Alligator mississippiensis: one gene and its partner. The protein of the gene in region 2 interacts with the protein of the main gene of each other region in a pairwise test. Links are inferred from orthologs where the notes say so. Each region holds a gene or a part of one and is shown on either strand. Other genes may lie near its edges.

Region 1 (7,631 bases), on a different chromosome or scaffold from region 2:
CTGTAGGCCAGAGATGTCCTCGGCCAACTCTTTTAGTATCTCAGGGGGTGTCCAGATGAGCACACATGTGGTTTGTGGTGCCTCAAACCTGTTTGAAGCACAGCATACCACATGCGATGCATGTGCAACTCTTTGCCACGCTGCAAATTTGATACTGGGAACTCTCAGTATTAAAACAAACAAAAAAAACGCTGTCAAAAAAAGCTGCACAACTGGAAGCTGGGTCCTCCAGGGATATGCTCTGGCTACCAGCCAGAGTGTCTCAACTGCTTTAGGTGTCCCCTGGCTCCTCTTCAGCATGCCATGAGCTGGGAGGAGTGGGGAAACAGCCATTTCCCTGAAGCGGGGCATTCTGCCCCACACCAAACCCCATGAGCCGGGGCGTGCACAGCCACTAAAAGCAGTGGCACAAACATGTGCTATTTTTGCTTCAGCAAACGCACACAGGAGTATGTGCCCCCTGGGTGCAAGTTATTCAGACCTTTATAAATGATTATTCTAAGAGATGTTATCTAACCCAGCATTTCATGTCATATTAGCAGCACTGTCACTTGCATGTGAAAGGAAGGGATTCTTCCATTCGGGACTGGCGAGGCCTCACCTGGTGTACCAGGTCCAGTTTTAGGCAAAAATGATTTGTGGCCTGGGAAGCAAGACTTATGAGACTGGAAGAACTGGGGACATTTAGTCTGGAGAAGAGAAGATTGAGGGGGATTTGATATTTGATAACAGCCTTCAAATACCTGAAGGATGATTAAAGAGAAGATGGAAAAACTATTATCTGCAGCTGTAGGGGACAGGACTAGGAACAATGGCCCTGAGCTGCAGTGAAGGAAATTTAGGTTGGAAAAAAGGAGGAACTTTCTATTAGGGTGGGTCAAGCATCAAAACAGGTACTGAGAGAAGTTGTGAAATCTCCATCCCTGGAAATTCTCAAATGTTGGACAGAGACTTGGCTGGGATGATTTAGTCAGGGAAGATCCTGTCTTGAACAGGGGGGCTGTACTAGATTACCTCATGAAGTCCCTTCCAGCCTTATTTTCCTGTGCACAACCTCCCCAGTTACTAACTGGAAAGTATTTTTTCACACTCCTGAAATATTTATATATTTTCATAAATGTATACCATCCTGTTTTTTGTAAAATGCAGAGCAAAAATATTTACCAAAAACTTCTCTTCTGCACCATTAACAATTTACTGCCTACATGAAGCATTGCGTCTATACTATTGCTAGATTTTCCTATTTTGTTCCTAAAATATTTAGCTTCTCTCTGTCATTTTGGTGTACCAGCCAGAGATCATCTGTCCAATCTTGCTCCCCCACCACATCTATCTTCCCATATCCATTTTCTGTATTGCTATTTCTTCTTTTGCATTTGTTGTGTTGGGATTTAAGTTTCTAATTTCTGCTTTTGATTCGCCACCGAAGTAAGGTGGGTTTTGAGCTCCTTGGTAGTGGAACTGGGGGCTTTTAGTCATTTAATAAACTCTTTCTAAAGAACTCCCGATTTTCACACAATTGATTCCTTCCAATTCATTTCAATCAATTTCCCTCAACTTTGGGAAACGAGGATTTTTCCAACACAAAAAGCAAAAATAACCCATTAAACTGAGCTGCAGAATTCATTGCTATAAGATAGGGGCTTAAGACAAAAAAGGTCAAACCTTTCTAGAAATATGAAAATCTCTATCCCCAGTTAGAGATGGTATATCCACACCACCACACATCAGAACAAACTGACACGGGATGGGAAATCCTGCCCAAAATTGGGATTCTTGTACCTTTGACAACTGCGAAATGGGTACGTCTACATAAGACACTTTACTGAGCAGCAGACCAATCTGCTGTGCTAAATAAAGCATCACCATCTACGGGTGCATGGCGATTAGGGAATAGCAGACTAATTTACTGCGGTACCCGACAGCCCAGTCAGATACAAGTGGTATCCAGCAGCACAGTAAAGTAGTGTGCTTACATGCACATGTAGACAGTGATTTTGGGATTAGTTTACTCTGGCTCAAACTGAGCCACAGTAAATACAGTTATATCAATTACCTGCGTAGAAGCACCCAGTGGCTACACAATTGGTCTGAATTATTGTGGCAGTTCCTACGTTTAAAGGAAGTTGACAAACATTTATTTGGGTATGCATCTACAAAAGCACCTGGGACGGTGCAGACAGCTGGATCAGTCAGGCTCCATACCCTGGCAGAAAGGTTTCTACCAGCTGCAACCCACCTACACTACTGCCACCAGTGAACAAGCAAGGGAGGGAAGTGGGGCGGAAAGACCCTGTGCCAACCGCTTCAGTGCAAGTGCAGGCAGGGATTACCTAGCAGACCTTTTTAGTGGATTTTGAGTTCCTCCTATTGCACAGCAGAAGCAGGGGCTTCCTGCAGCAGGCTCCAAAGCTGCGGGGAGCAGCACGTCTCTTATAAAAAAGTTTCACTTTTTTTTTTTTTTTTTAAAGAAGCCAGGTACTGCTCCAAAGGGGCGCTCGGGGCCCAGGAGGCTGGGCTGGGCCGGCGGCAGGAGCCACGTTTCCGAGTGTCAGGTGGGCCGGGCCTGGGGACGGAAATACGGCAGCAGCGCCAAGCCGGAACGAGCAGAGGGACGTAGCCGGCTTGCGGCAGCAGCTGAGACTCGAGCGGGGCCCGGCATGACCCCCCGGGGAGGCCGCGGCCGCCGGGGACCGCCTTTCTGTCCGGGAAAAACTCTGCCGGCCGCACGTGCGCCGCGGGGCCCGATCCCGCCCCTCCCCCCCCACGTGCGCCCTTCCCCCCACGCGGGAAATGGCGCGCGCAGCCCGGCACTGTCCCCCCAGAATCGCCCCGCACCCCCCGGCCCCTCCGCCTCCCGCTCCGCGGCCCGCGGCCGAAGCCCCTGCGGCGCCCCCGCTTCTGCCCCCTCCCCCTCACCATGGCGACTCGCTCTCCACAGCCCCCGGCGCGAACCAGCAGCTCCCAACCGTCCCCCACAATCCCCCGCGCCGACCGGAAACGCTTCAGCAACCGCCAAACGGCTTCCCTCCCTCCCCCTTCTCATTGCAGCCCACTTTCACCATAGAGACAGCACCTCCCACAGAGCCAGAGCGCCGCCCAGGCACCTCGCGAGAATTGGCGGGCGACCGCCGCTGCGCATGCCGGGAAGGCTTCCGGAGCGGAGACTCGGGCTGCCATGTTTGCTAAAGGCAGCGTTTCCTTCCGTCGCGCCTCGTGAGGTCTGCCATCTTGGCGGTGGGTGACCCGGAAGCGGATCCGGCGGAGGGAGCAAGCGCCAGAGCGAGAAGCTGCCACTTGGCCTCAGCGGGGCCAAGATGGAGCCCGGAGCTTGAGGGCCGAGGTCGGGCCCCGCGGGCAGGGGCGGGGTCCGAAAGCGGCCCCGGCGCGGCCGGCAGCGCTGGAAGCGCCGCGGGGGAACCTGAGCGCGGGGCCCGTCGCCATGGACGACTTCGTGTCCATCAGCCTGCTGTCGCTGGCCATGCTGGTGGGCTGCTACGTGGCCGGCATCATCCCCCTGGCCGTCAACTTCTCGGAGGTGAGGGCGTCCCGCGTGTCCCGGCTCCATCGCCTCGCCGGGGGCTGCCGGCGGCCCCTGCACCCTCGGGCTGAGCCGGGAGTGCCTGGCTTAACCCCTGGCTGAGGGGGGCACCAGGACTGTAGCCGGCTGTGCCCGCCGCGCTTCAGAAAAAAGGCTGTCGAAGAAGTGGTGGAGAAGGGCAGCGCGGGTGATTAGCGGTGTGGAGGGGCGCCCGTCTGAGCAGAGGCTGAAGAGGTAGCAGCGAGGGGCTGGGTCAGTAGAGATGTCAGGTCTTGAGAAATAAACTTTAAATACCTGGTTTTCCTTGCTGAAACTGATAACAATGAAGCAAGTGAGTGTTAACTAATTTTGCAGAGGAGAGCGTTTAGTTGCTGACTTCCCTTGGGTACCTTAAAAGGTAACTGATGTCTATTTATTTTTGTCACTTCTCAGTCAAGTTTGAGGGTGCTGTTTTGGTTAATACGATTACGCACAACGAAGTGGCATATTTAAAAATAAGGAGATCACAAGGATTAAGAGTTAAACCTCTGGCTTTTAATGTGGGAGAATATAGCACCCCTCGAATTGAGCTTGTTTTACTAATCTATAACGTCAACTCAGTTTTATAATAGTAGAGTCTTTTTGCTTTACATTTTTTAAATTGAGATCACTTAACTTTTTAGCCCCCTTTACACCCTCATTCATTACTCAAATATTTATTATGTGCAGTTAGTGATGTGTTAATATGGTAAACTAAATGGTCTGAATTTCCTGATTCACTTCTATGTTTGAACACTTACTGGAAGTTACAGCTTGATTTTTTTATTTTTTTTTTTTTCCTTGAAAGGTACCAATCACCCATGCTTTCTGTTGCTTAAAGCATAAGCTCAGGTTTTTTGGAAATACTACTTTTTTATATTGTGCCCCATACTGGCAATGTGTAGCCCTAGGTGTTAGAGCTTTAATACAGTTGACTAAGGCTTTTTGAACGTATGCACCATTATGAAGTGGAATGATGTTTTTGGACTTCAGAGTTTTAAGAAATGGGTCACAATAACGTTTTTAGTCTCCCTTGATGTATTAAAAAGCCAGCAGGAATGGAGCTGCTTTGTAAGAGTTTAAACTAGAAAGTAAAAGCCTTGTTGCTTATAACTTGCAACAGATGCCAGGGAAGAAGGGTGCTATTGATTAATTTCTTATAGTAAGGAATTCTACTCCTGGAGTACATGATTGATGCTTTATTTCATGCTAATGTACCTTTCAAATTAGACTTCAGTACTCTTAAAAGGAAGAAACTGTTAGGACAGATTTCAGGCATTGAAAAATTACCCCTTGGGGTAAGTAGGCTTAGTGTTATAGGCTTATTTTGTACTGTACCTAGTAGAGTTGCTCCACTTGTTTTCAGTCACATGTTTCTCTCAGATTCAGATATGTATGAAAATAAGTGGAGCGACTCCATTAAGTACACTACGTTTCATCTTGGGAACATTATTTACCTTATACTGTTTTTTGGCCCCCATTTGTCAAATGCACACGTTAATCCAGAAGGACTAGTCACCTGCTTAAAGTTAAGCATATAAATGAGCCTTTGCATCATTAGTGCCTCTAGTTGGATGCCATCATTGTTTTTAAGTCACAAACTTTTATCACTGATGAACTAATGATCTTTGGCAGCACTTACTAAATAGTTACCTTGTTTTTCTTCAGGGAAAAATGGGTATATGTTTTCTTGTGAGGTTTTTTTAAAATACTGTTAATTTTTTTAACATCTTGGAGGAATGTAGGTCTTTTGGGGGCTTGTTTGTTTTGTTTGTTTTGTTTTTGGTTACTGATAAGCTGTTGATTGATTTTGAGCAGATTTGTTTTTAGTTTAGAATAGAGAACTTTGGTCGGGTCAGTTTTAAGTTGCATATTTATGGTCTTTCATGTTAGATCCTGGAGAAAATTGTCAAGGGATCCATTAATGCCAGACTAATGGATGGCAAGCTGCTGAATGCCAGCCAACATGGCTTTGTGACTGGTAGGTCTTGCCTGACCAACCTCATCTCTTTCTATGACCTGGTAACATGCACCCTGGACAAGGGAGATGACATGGACGTCCTATATCTGGACTTCAAGAAGTCCTTTGACCTAGTTTCCCATGATGTCCTCATGGTTAAGCTGGGGAACTGTGGCCTTGATCATCATACAGTCCGATGGCTAGGCAACTGCTGGCTACAGGGTTGGACCCAAAGGGCGCGTCCACACGAGCGCGCACGTGCCTTTTGCCCCTCCTCAAACCCCTTTGAGGTGGGGCAACAGACGTGTGGGAACAAAAAAATGTTCCCCATGTTGCAAGTTTGCAGTGCAGGGAGAAAATTTAGACCCCTGGATATCCAGGGGTCTAAAAAAATCGATGTTTAAAAAAGTGGAGCAGGGCATAGTCCCTGACTGCTCCCTGAGGCAACCGGAGGCTGGGTCCTCCATGGAGACACTCTTGCTGCCAGAGCATCTCTATGGTTGGCCCTCGCCCTGGTGCTGAAACGTGGCTGGCCAGGCCACATGTTTCAGCACCAGGCTCCAGTGCCAGTGAGCAAGGGGCCGACAAACTCCCCTCAGAGGTGGTGCAAGCACCTACTCTGGACTCCTTCAAAAAACAGGTGGATTTATTTCTTGCTGGGGTCACTTGATCCCAGCTGACTTCCTGCCTATGCGGGGGAGGGCTGTACCCGATGATCTCATGAGGTCCCCTCCATCCCCTAATGTCTATGAAAATGTATGAAATCTATGAAATAAAAGTATTTTACTTACTAGTATGCATACTTAATCACTTTTAAAAGTTAAGGTAAGGCAAACTGCATTTTCAAGAGCTGTGATTATCAGATTGGCTTTCTGAATAACCATTAAAGAATACTGTCCCTGTACCCTTTTAATATTAAAAACAAATGCTGTAAGATGCTTTTGGAAAATTGAGAAAGTGTTTGTATCTTGTGAGCCACTAGATCAGACATTGGAAATTGAACCTGTCATTAATTTGTCTGTTTTGGTTTTGGTGTGGGTGGCTGGATGAGTGCTGCAAGGCCTTGCACTACCACCCCTAAAGCCCCTACCAGATTGGGGCCCCATGCTGTCTCTGCTTGACCCTGTGCTATAGGATCCGGTCCTTAGCCACCTGTAGCCAGCTCCTGTGTGGCTGGATTGGGCCACAACCCACTTCCATGTGCTAATCCAGTGTTTGGCTCATGTGGCTCCCCATGGGTCTGGAAATTTGGCAGCAGAGGAGAGGCAATTGCTGCCAGTACTTCCCACCACCACATTTTTGGACGTGTGGACTGGATGACATGGCTCCATGGGCCAGGGATGAGTGGTGACTTGAGAGACCAAGTCCTGAACGTGACTTCTGATCACTTTTTACATATGCTGTGGGGGAGACTGTGGGCTTTATGATTCTCTTGTTTTCTCTAACTTCTGGACTGGTGTACTTCACAAAACTTTAACCACAATATAATTCAAGCACTTCTGCCTATAAGTGATCTTCAAATGGCTCCCATTTCTATAGTAACTAAGTAAGGTTAACTAAACTTCATCCACTTTTCAGAATGTTCAGCCATGCTGGTTTTACTTTAATTATGTTAAATTCTTCAGCTTGTTTACGTGTAGTGCACCAGTTTAACTGAAGGTTTGTGTTTTAAGAATTGATTTAAGCTGAAATGGCATTAAAGGCTGTGTGGATAATCTTAGTTTGCTTATGTTGATTAGAAACGTGTGTAACATTTAAAAAAAAAAAAAAGAAGCCTCCTTTCAAATTAAATGTCTACGTGGAAGTTGTGCTGGTTTAGCCAAAGTACAATTTGTATAGTGAAAATAACCTAATCATTTTGCTGTGTAGCTGTGATAATTGTTAATTTCTGAAAGTGCTTGCCCCATAGTATTTTTCTTAGTCTTCAACCCTAAACCTTTGCAAATGACTGGTAACATTGTCATAAACTAGCATTGGCTTTGTCATATGTCAGATGATGATGATCAGTACTTTCTCACTTTATTTAGGGAAAGTAAAACCATTGTAGTGGCTTTCTCTCTAATTATATAAAGGCAAATCCCTTTTTTCATGCTTCACTAATATTTTATTTAA
Region 2 (7,938 bases):
CAGTCCAGCTCCATCTTTGCAACCCCCCTGCAGGGAGTTGAAGGCTGCTATTCAATCCCCTCAGTCTTCTCTTCTCCAGACTAAATCAGCCCAGTTCCCTCAGCCTCTCCTCACCAGTCCTGTGTCCCAGCCCTCTAACCATTTCTGTTGCCCTTCACTGGACTCTCTCTAAGTTGTCCACATCCTTTCTGTAGTAGGGGTGGGGGGCAAAACTGGACACAGGACTCCAGATGTGACCTCACCTGTGCAGAATAGAGGGGAATAATTACTTCCCTTGATCTGCTGGTAACACTCCTACCAATGTAGGCCACGATGCCTTTAGCCTTCTTGGCAACAAGGGCACACTGTTGACTTATATCCAGCTTATTGGATATGACAGGGGCATGTATATCCAATACCCAATATTGTATATAAATTCATAGATTCATAGATGCTAGGGTTGGAAGGGACCTCAACAGATCATTGAGTCTGACCTTTGGCTTGGGCAGGAAAGAGTGCTGGGGTCAGATGACTCCAGCCAGGTGCTTGTCTCCTCTTGAAGACCCCCAAGGTAGGGGGTTTAATTCATGCTACAAGTTTAGTTAGTTTAGTTCATGCTACAAGAGCACTACCTCCCTTGGAAGCCCATTCCAAGTTTTGGCCACCCTTACCATGAAGAATTGAATAATTCAAATTGTGGCACACACAAAAAAATATCAACAGCCGGAAGAACTGTTTACATCCTCTTTGCTGATGGATACCAAGAAGTCATCAAAAAGCTATGGTACTCAAAGCCATTCAGAAAAATGTGTTAAAATGCTTTGAAACAGAGGAGGGGAGAAGGGATTTCTTGAAATCCCAAATCTATCCTATCGCTCAGCTTCCCATTGACAAGCCACAGGTAAACACCTAGTGTGTTTTTGCAAGCTCCTTGCTGTGAGATCAGAGCACTTTGCAACTTGGAAAGAAGTTCATGGAACCTCAGTGTTGTTCTCTGTTCTCCTAGAAAAGCAGTGATATACATCTATGGGTGGATCTAGGATTTTGAAAATGGGGGTGCACATAGTGAGGTGCATCATCACATAGAATCATAGCAAATGAGGGCTGGAAGGGAGCTCAGGAGGTCCCATCTAGTCCAACCCCCTGCTCCTAGCAGGACCAGCCCCAACTACATCGTCCTAGGCAGGGCTTTGTGTAGCCAGGTCTTCAAAGCCTCCAAGGATGGAGCTTCTACCACCTCTCTGGGTAATCTGCTCCAGTATTTTACTACCCTCCTTGTGAAAAAGTTTTTCCTAATATCCAACCTCAACTTCTCTTGTTGCAACTTGAGCCCATTGCTCCTTGTCCTGTCATCTGCCCCCACTGAGAGCAGTCCAGCTCCGTCCTCTTTCGATACAAAACAACACATATACAACAACATATATTTTTCTCCAGGTAAAAATAAATCAGAACTTTACTAATCTGCTAGGGGCCTATGGCTGCGTTATTTAGTTTAAGACTGAAGCAAAAACAAATATAAATTCATTAGAATGAGGTAAAAACCATCTGCAGGGCTGTGAAATAGGAGCTTCATGACTAGGAGCAGTGAGCAGACAGCAGAACTGCAGACCAAAGGGTGACTTGATTGGTGAGACATTGAGACCATAAAAAAAGAGAAGATCATTAACACCTGTAGGGTGAAGAGTTTAGAAGGGATGGAGTAGATGACAATGAGCCATGAAGTTAGTTGATTCCCTCAACGCTGCCTGAGTAGAAATGCCACTGCCACTGCCAGAAAGTTGGTTTTAAATTTTGGGTGAAGCAGGAATTAAAGGGGTGTGTAAATGCACGAGTGCACCCCCTTGGATCCACCTCTGTGTACACCTTCCTTCTGCTGTGTCCCAGAAGAAAGGCACAGAGAAGTGTGGGCTAAACTTCATACAGCCTTGGAAAGGTAGTTTGGGAATCTCCTTTTGAATGGGTTTTTCTGAACCATCTGATTCTAGAGCAGGGGAACTGCAGTGACCTTTTTATCTCCAAGCAATTTAGTCCCTGGAAAGTGCTTTGTAAATAAAATTAGAAACACAGAATCATTCAAATTTTAAGACTGGGATGGACTCAGGCGGCCACAACTAGTCCAACCACTTTCTCCAATCAGGATCATTCCTGTTGAAACCATTCTAGATAGACAAGGGTTTGTCAAACCTTAAAAATCACAAGTCTCTAGACTCATTAGGCATTTGAATCCAGCAACTCAAGCACAAATCGTCTCTCTTGGCCATGTACATATGTGCATGGGTATATATACACAATTACTTTATACATGTATAATTTCTATATGACATAATATAGAAATCACTTTCAATACGAATGGCCAGGAGCACCAAGGGGAACTCACCTGGGTACGTCGTGGGATCTAGACAGGCACTCATAAGTCTGAGCTGTGTTGCGGATAGAGAAAGGGGGTAGAATCCCTGCAGCCTCGTCCCAGCTCTGACAGCGATTCAATGTCTGACCATGGACAAATCACTTTTCCTTCCTGTGCTATGGTCTCGTCATCTGTAAAAATAGGGGAATGCCAACACTTCCCTGCCTCTTGGAGTCCCTGAGATTCAATGGGCTGCAGATTACTTTGAGACCTTTGCATCACAATCTTTGTGCTCAGTTGCATCTTTGACTCTGCCACTGGCTTGAAGTATGACCTTGGGCATGTCACTTCCTCTCTCTGGGTCTCTTTTTTTTCCCTCCCACTGTGCATCAGTCTTGTCTCCCTCTCACACTATGTATATCTCAGCACTTAGGACCGACGGGGCTGATCTCAGTTGGAGCTAGTAGGTACCGGGGGGGTACAAATGCAACATAATCAGAGATTCCTACCATACCCAGCAGAACAGGTTCAGCCAGCCCCAGGCGGACATGTTTTATCTTAAGTAACCTATTGCAACACTTGCCAACTGGCTGTGTTTCCTCGGTGGTGGGATCTATTCTTCAGGCAGTCAAAAGCAGAAGGCAGCACAAGGTAACCTTGAGACCAGCTGGTTCAGAGAGGTATAAGCTTTTGTAGGCAACAGCCTCCTTCACCCGGTACAGAGAGCTGATATTTAAAGAAGCAATACTGAATCCTGCCGTGACTGCCGCCATCCTGGAAGCAAGCAGTGGGGCAGCACCCCCCTAAAAAATGATGGACAAATGAAAAAAGCTTTGGTTACAAATCCACAGGAGAAAATCATACGGGAAAGACTGGTGTCAGAGCCAAAAGACTACTAAAAATCTCATGTTGTTCGCTTCTCTTTCCACCTGATAAGCAGCTGCTCCATTAAGAGATCAGCTTTCTCTACGACTGACAAAAAAACCTGCTTTATATGGTGGTTAGGCAAAAGGGTTATTTATCCACTCTTTTCTATTTCAGCGGTTTTAGAATCAACCTCGTTAGACACCAGGCCCCCCTCGGAAAGTGCCAGCTGTTCATTTTCATGCATTTTTTGACTTTGGAAAAGTAACAGAGCAATTCTTCTGTTGCAAAGAACTCAGAAACACCACAGCAGGTCACAATGATTTGGGCACTGTGGATTTCTATTTGAAATCTCTGGGTTTATCCTGTGACTTGCATGGATGTAGCTGCACACATCACAATACAAATAATGTGTGGCACCCTCATCTCATGGCACCCCAGTTGAGAATCACCACGCTGCAGCTTTGCTACGACTATCTACGAGTGAATGTCACCGCTTTCTAGTTTCTTCTTTGCAGTATAGTTTCTCTGGAAGAAAAAGGGCAGCTGGGAGGAGGGAATAGCCACTGCTGATAAGGTTGCTTAAAACTAGAAGGGGAAAAAAAAATCATTGATTTCAAAATACTTTTAATAATGGACTTTGAACCTAAGTTTTAGTAGCTGCCTGCTTTTCACAGGAAGGGGAGCACACCCGTGCTCCTGTCCTTTGATCAACTGGGACTGCCTTTCAAAGTATGCCCTGCCCAGCCACTTCCAGCCGCCCCGTCGGACCATGGCAGAGCTGGGGGGTGCATGCAGCACAGCTGCTGTTGCCCTTGGCCAAGGAGCCCTCCCCATCATGGGGGAAGGTGGGCCATGAACCCAAATTAGTATCAGACAGTGCCGTGCCCCCATCCCTTCTCATGTCAGCCCCAAAGAGGCCTGGGGAAGGTGTGCGCGCTGGCAGGGGGCATGAAGGGCCAAACCAGGCGTGGCTGGGAGGCCACTCCACTTCACTTTCACCAGCAGCAGCAATTCAAACCATTAGGGAAGTGGGCACAGGGCACCTCTCCAGCCAGCCGGCAGGGCACACGGGGGCACAGGGCATCTCTCCACCCAGGGCTCATAGGGCGCATCTATACGTGCGCTTTAATATGCATTAGTCTATTTTAGACATAAAAATCGCAGTAAAGGTGATATCTTGTATTAGACCAAACAGATTTTTGCAAAAAAAAAAGTAAAAAATTTTAATTGCAAGCTTTCGGGCTCAACCCCCGCTTCATCAGGCATCGGAAAAAAGATTGCCCAAGTTCTCCTAGGTAGAAATGCAAGCTCCTATTTCGTAGGCGACTTAAAACCCGTGGGCATTTAAACATGTCCATTGGCGGCGCGTGCGTCTCAACAGCAAAACGCACACACACCAGCGCAGTTTCGAACTAAAACACCTTTTGATGTGTTTTAATTCAAAAGCACGCCACCATCACGTTCCCATTAGCACAGACACGTGTACAAACGCCCCATGATGGAAGGCGCCCCCACGCGTGCGCAGACGCGCCCAGGCGCGGCATGGAACGCGGGGCCGCCGTAGACTAGGTGGGGGGGAAAGCGGAAGCGGAAGTGGAGCACCACTTCCGGGTCAGTTTTCACTTTCTCTTTTTTTTTTTTTTTTTTTCCCTCCCCTCCCCGGCGGCGGCGGCGGCGGCACTTCCTGCGCGGGCGGCCGACATGTTCGCGGCGCCGGGCCGCGGGATGCGGCCCCGAGCCTGAGCGCGGCAGCGGCCATGGCGGAGCCGCCTGGTGAGTGCGGCGTCGGGCCCAGGGGAGGGGGAGGCTCGCGCCCCTCAGGAGCCGGGTTTGGGGGGGCTGAAATGATACCGGGCCCCTGTGTGGGTAGCCGCACGCATTGATCTAAGGACATCAGCAGACAAGCTGGAGGTGATATCTTTTACGAGACCAACTTAAATAGTTGTGGGGAACCATTTTGTCTAGCAAGCTTTCTGGTTTAAAAACCCTTTGTGGGGCTGAGGAAGTCTGTGCAGTCGGTGTGCGCTCTTCCTAGAAGGAACGAATTGTCATACGCCAACTCTGCTGCAAAAAAAAACCTCTCCGAAAACCCACAACAAGCCAAAACGTTGTAGGCAGTTTGGATTCGTATTTGAAATCTCTGGGTTTCTCTTGGGGATCCTGGGTAGGTGTTTGCACACTTAACAGTACAAATCGTCTGCATTGCAACAGGTGTGCAGAATGCTGTGCAATACTACAGTATTCTGTACAACCGTGCAGATCGTCTGCATTGCAACAGTCGTGCAGAATGCTGTGCATCACTACAGTATTCTGTACAACCGTGCAGATCTTCTACATTGCAAGAGTTGTGCAGAATGCTGTGCAATACTACAGTATTCTGTACAACCGTGCAGATCGTCTGCATTGCAACAGTCGTGCAAATGCTGTGCAATACTACAGTATTCTGTACAACCGTGCAGATCGTCTGCATTGCAACAGTCGTGCAAATGCTGTGCAATACTACAGTATTCTGTACAACCGTGCAGATCGTCTGCATTGCAACAGTCGTGCAAATGCTGTGCAATACTACAGTATTCTGTACAACCGTGCAGATCGTCTGCATTGCAACAGTCGTGCAAATGCTGTGCAATACTACAGTATTCTGTACAACCGTGCAGATCGTCTGCATTGCAACAGTCGTGCAGAATGCTGTGCAATACTACAGTATTCTGTACAACCGTGCAGATCGTCTGCATTGCAACAGTCGTGCAGAATGCTGTGCAATACTACAGTATTCTGTACAACCGTGCAGATCGTCTGCATTGCAACAGTCGTGCAGAATGCTGTGCAATACTACAGTATTCTGTACAACCGTGCAGATCGTCTGCATTGCAACAGTCGTGCAGAATGCTGTGCAATACTACAGTATTCTGTACAACCGTGCAGATCGTCTGCATTGCAACAGTCATGCAGAATGCTGTGCAATACTACAGTATTCTGTACAACCGTGCAGATCGTCTGCATTGCAACAGTCGTGCAGAATGCTGTGCATCACTACAGTATTCTGTACAACCGTGCAGATCGTCTGCATTGCAACAGTCATGCAGAATGCTGTGCATCACTACAGTATTCTGTACAACCGTGCAGATCTTCTACATTGCAAGAGTTGTGCAGAATGCTGTGCAGTACTACAGTATTCTGTACAACCGTGCACATCTGCATTGCAACAGTCGTGCAGAATGCTGTGCAATACTACAGTATTCTGTACAACCGTGCACATCTGCATTGCAACAGTCGTGCAGAATGCTGTGCAATACTACAGTATTCTGTACAACCGTGCAAATCGTCTGCATTGCAACAGTCGTGCAGAATGCTGTGCAATACTACAGTATTCTGTACAACCGTGCAAATCGTCTGCATTGCAACAGTCGTGCAGAATGCTGTGCAATACTACAGTATTCTGTACAACAGTGCACATCTGCATTGCAACAGTCGTGCAGAATGCTGTGCAATACTACAGTATTCTGTACAACCATGCAGATCTTCTGCATTGCAAGTCGTGCAGAATGCTGTGCAATACTACAGTATTCTGTACAACAGTGCACATCTGCATTGCAACAGTCGTGCAGAATGCTGTGCAATACTACAGTATTCTGTACAACCGTGCAAATCGTCTGCATTGCAACAGTCGTGCAGAATGCTGTGCAATACTACAGTATTCTGTACAACCGTGCAAATCGTCTGCATTGCAACAGTCGTGCAGAATGCTGTGCAATACTACAGTATTCTGTACAACAGTGCACATCTGCATTGCAACAGTCGTGCAGAATGCTGTGCAATACTACAGTATTCTGTACAACCATGCAGATCTTCTGCATTGCAAGTCGTGCAGAATGCTGTGCATCACTACAATATTCTGTACAACCGTGCAAATCGTCTGCATTGCAACAGTCGTGCAGAATGCTGTGCAATACTACAGTATTCCGTACAACCGTACAAATATTCTTCATCCTTAAAAGGATCTCATGGCATCCTAAGGTATCACACCCTGGTTGAGAATCGCTGACCTACCTGACCCCGAAGTCAGCTGCAGGTTCAGAAATCCAATTAAAAAAATTTAGTCTTGATCTTTTCTTCTAACCACGAGAAAACACTTCCCCCTGTGTTTTATTTCATTTGTTTGTAACCATCACCCTTTTTCCTAGTATCAAAGTTTTGCTGATGCCAATAGCAGGTCTAGACCCAAAGTCCAAGTTGTGTTTTTATTTTTTGTAGGCAAAAGTTTGCCAAACCATTTCCTCAGAACAGTTTTTTTATTTGGTGATTTGATGCCCTCCCCCATCCTTGAAGCACCAGAAGTCATCATCGTGCTCATGCAGGAAATCAGAAAGTGAAAAAGGCTAGAAACAAAAGTGAAACTGAATAGTCTGACTTGTCTAACATGGCATATGTGCATTGTTGAACAGGTTATAGGATGTGAATGGAGGGTAGAAGTGCTGTTAACGATGGGAATTAGACTGAGGGGGGCATTTTGTATGAATTCTGTGCCTACAATGGTGGGATTCAGAAATATTGGGCGAGTTTTGCTGCAGGTAGGAAGATCTTGGAGAAACCAGGTAGTTGCAAGCTAAACAAATCTTTGAAGACTGAACTCTGTGATGTGCTAAATTGAGAGCAAAGCACTGAGGGGTGGGGGGTGTTTAAGCTGCACCACATTTTTGGAGCAGAAATGGAAACCTGAGACTTGACAGAGATCTAGAAATCAG

What was found. The genes of interacting proteins can lie anywhere in the genome.
Region 1: the proteins of TASOR2 (region 2) and ERH interact in binary tests that used the Homo sapiens proteins (3 or more experiments, as listed by UniProt). The two-hybrid records come from large-scale screens. The link is inferred for Alligator mississippiensis from reciprocal best matches to the Homo sapiens genes TASOR2 and ERH.

The regions. Positions count from the first base shown.
Region 1 is NC_081825.1:232,523,334-232,530,964, forward strand, and holds the start of ERH (enhancer of rudimentary homolog), read right to left. Parts: upstream 3,082-7,631; 5' UTR 3,066-3,081; coding exon 3,063-3,065; intron 3,022-3,062; exon of another isoform or gene 2,923-3,021; coding exon of another isoform or gene 2,920-2,922; intron 1-2,919. Other genes in the region: SLC39A9 (zinc transporter ZIP9), read left to right, coding at 3,443-3,538. UniProt on the Homo sapiens protein: May have a role in the cell cycle.
Region 2 is NC_081827.1:6,055,394-6,063,331, reverse strand, and holds the start of TASOR2 (protein TASOR 2), read left to right. Parts: upstream 1-4,859; 5' UTR 4,860-4,950; coding exon 4,951-4,966; intron 4,967-7,938.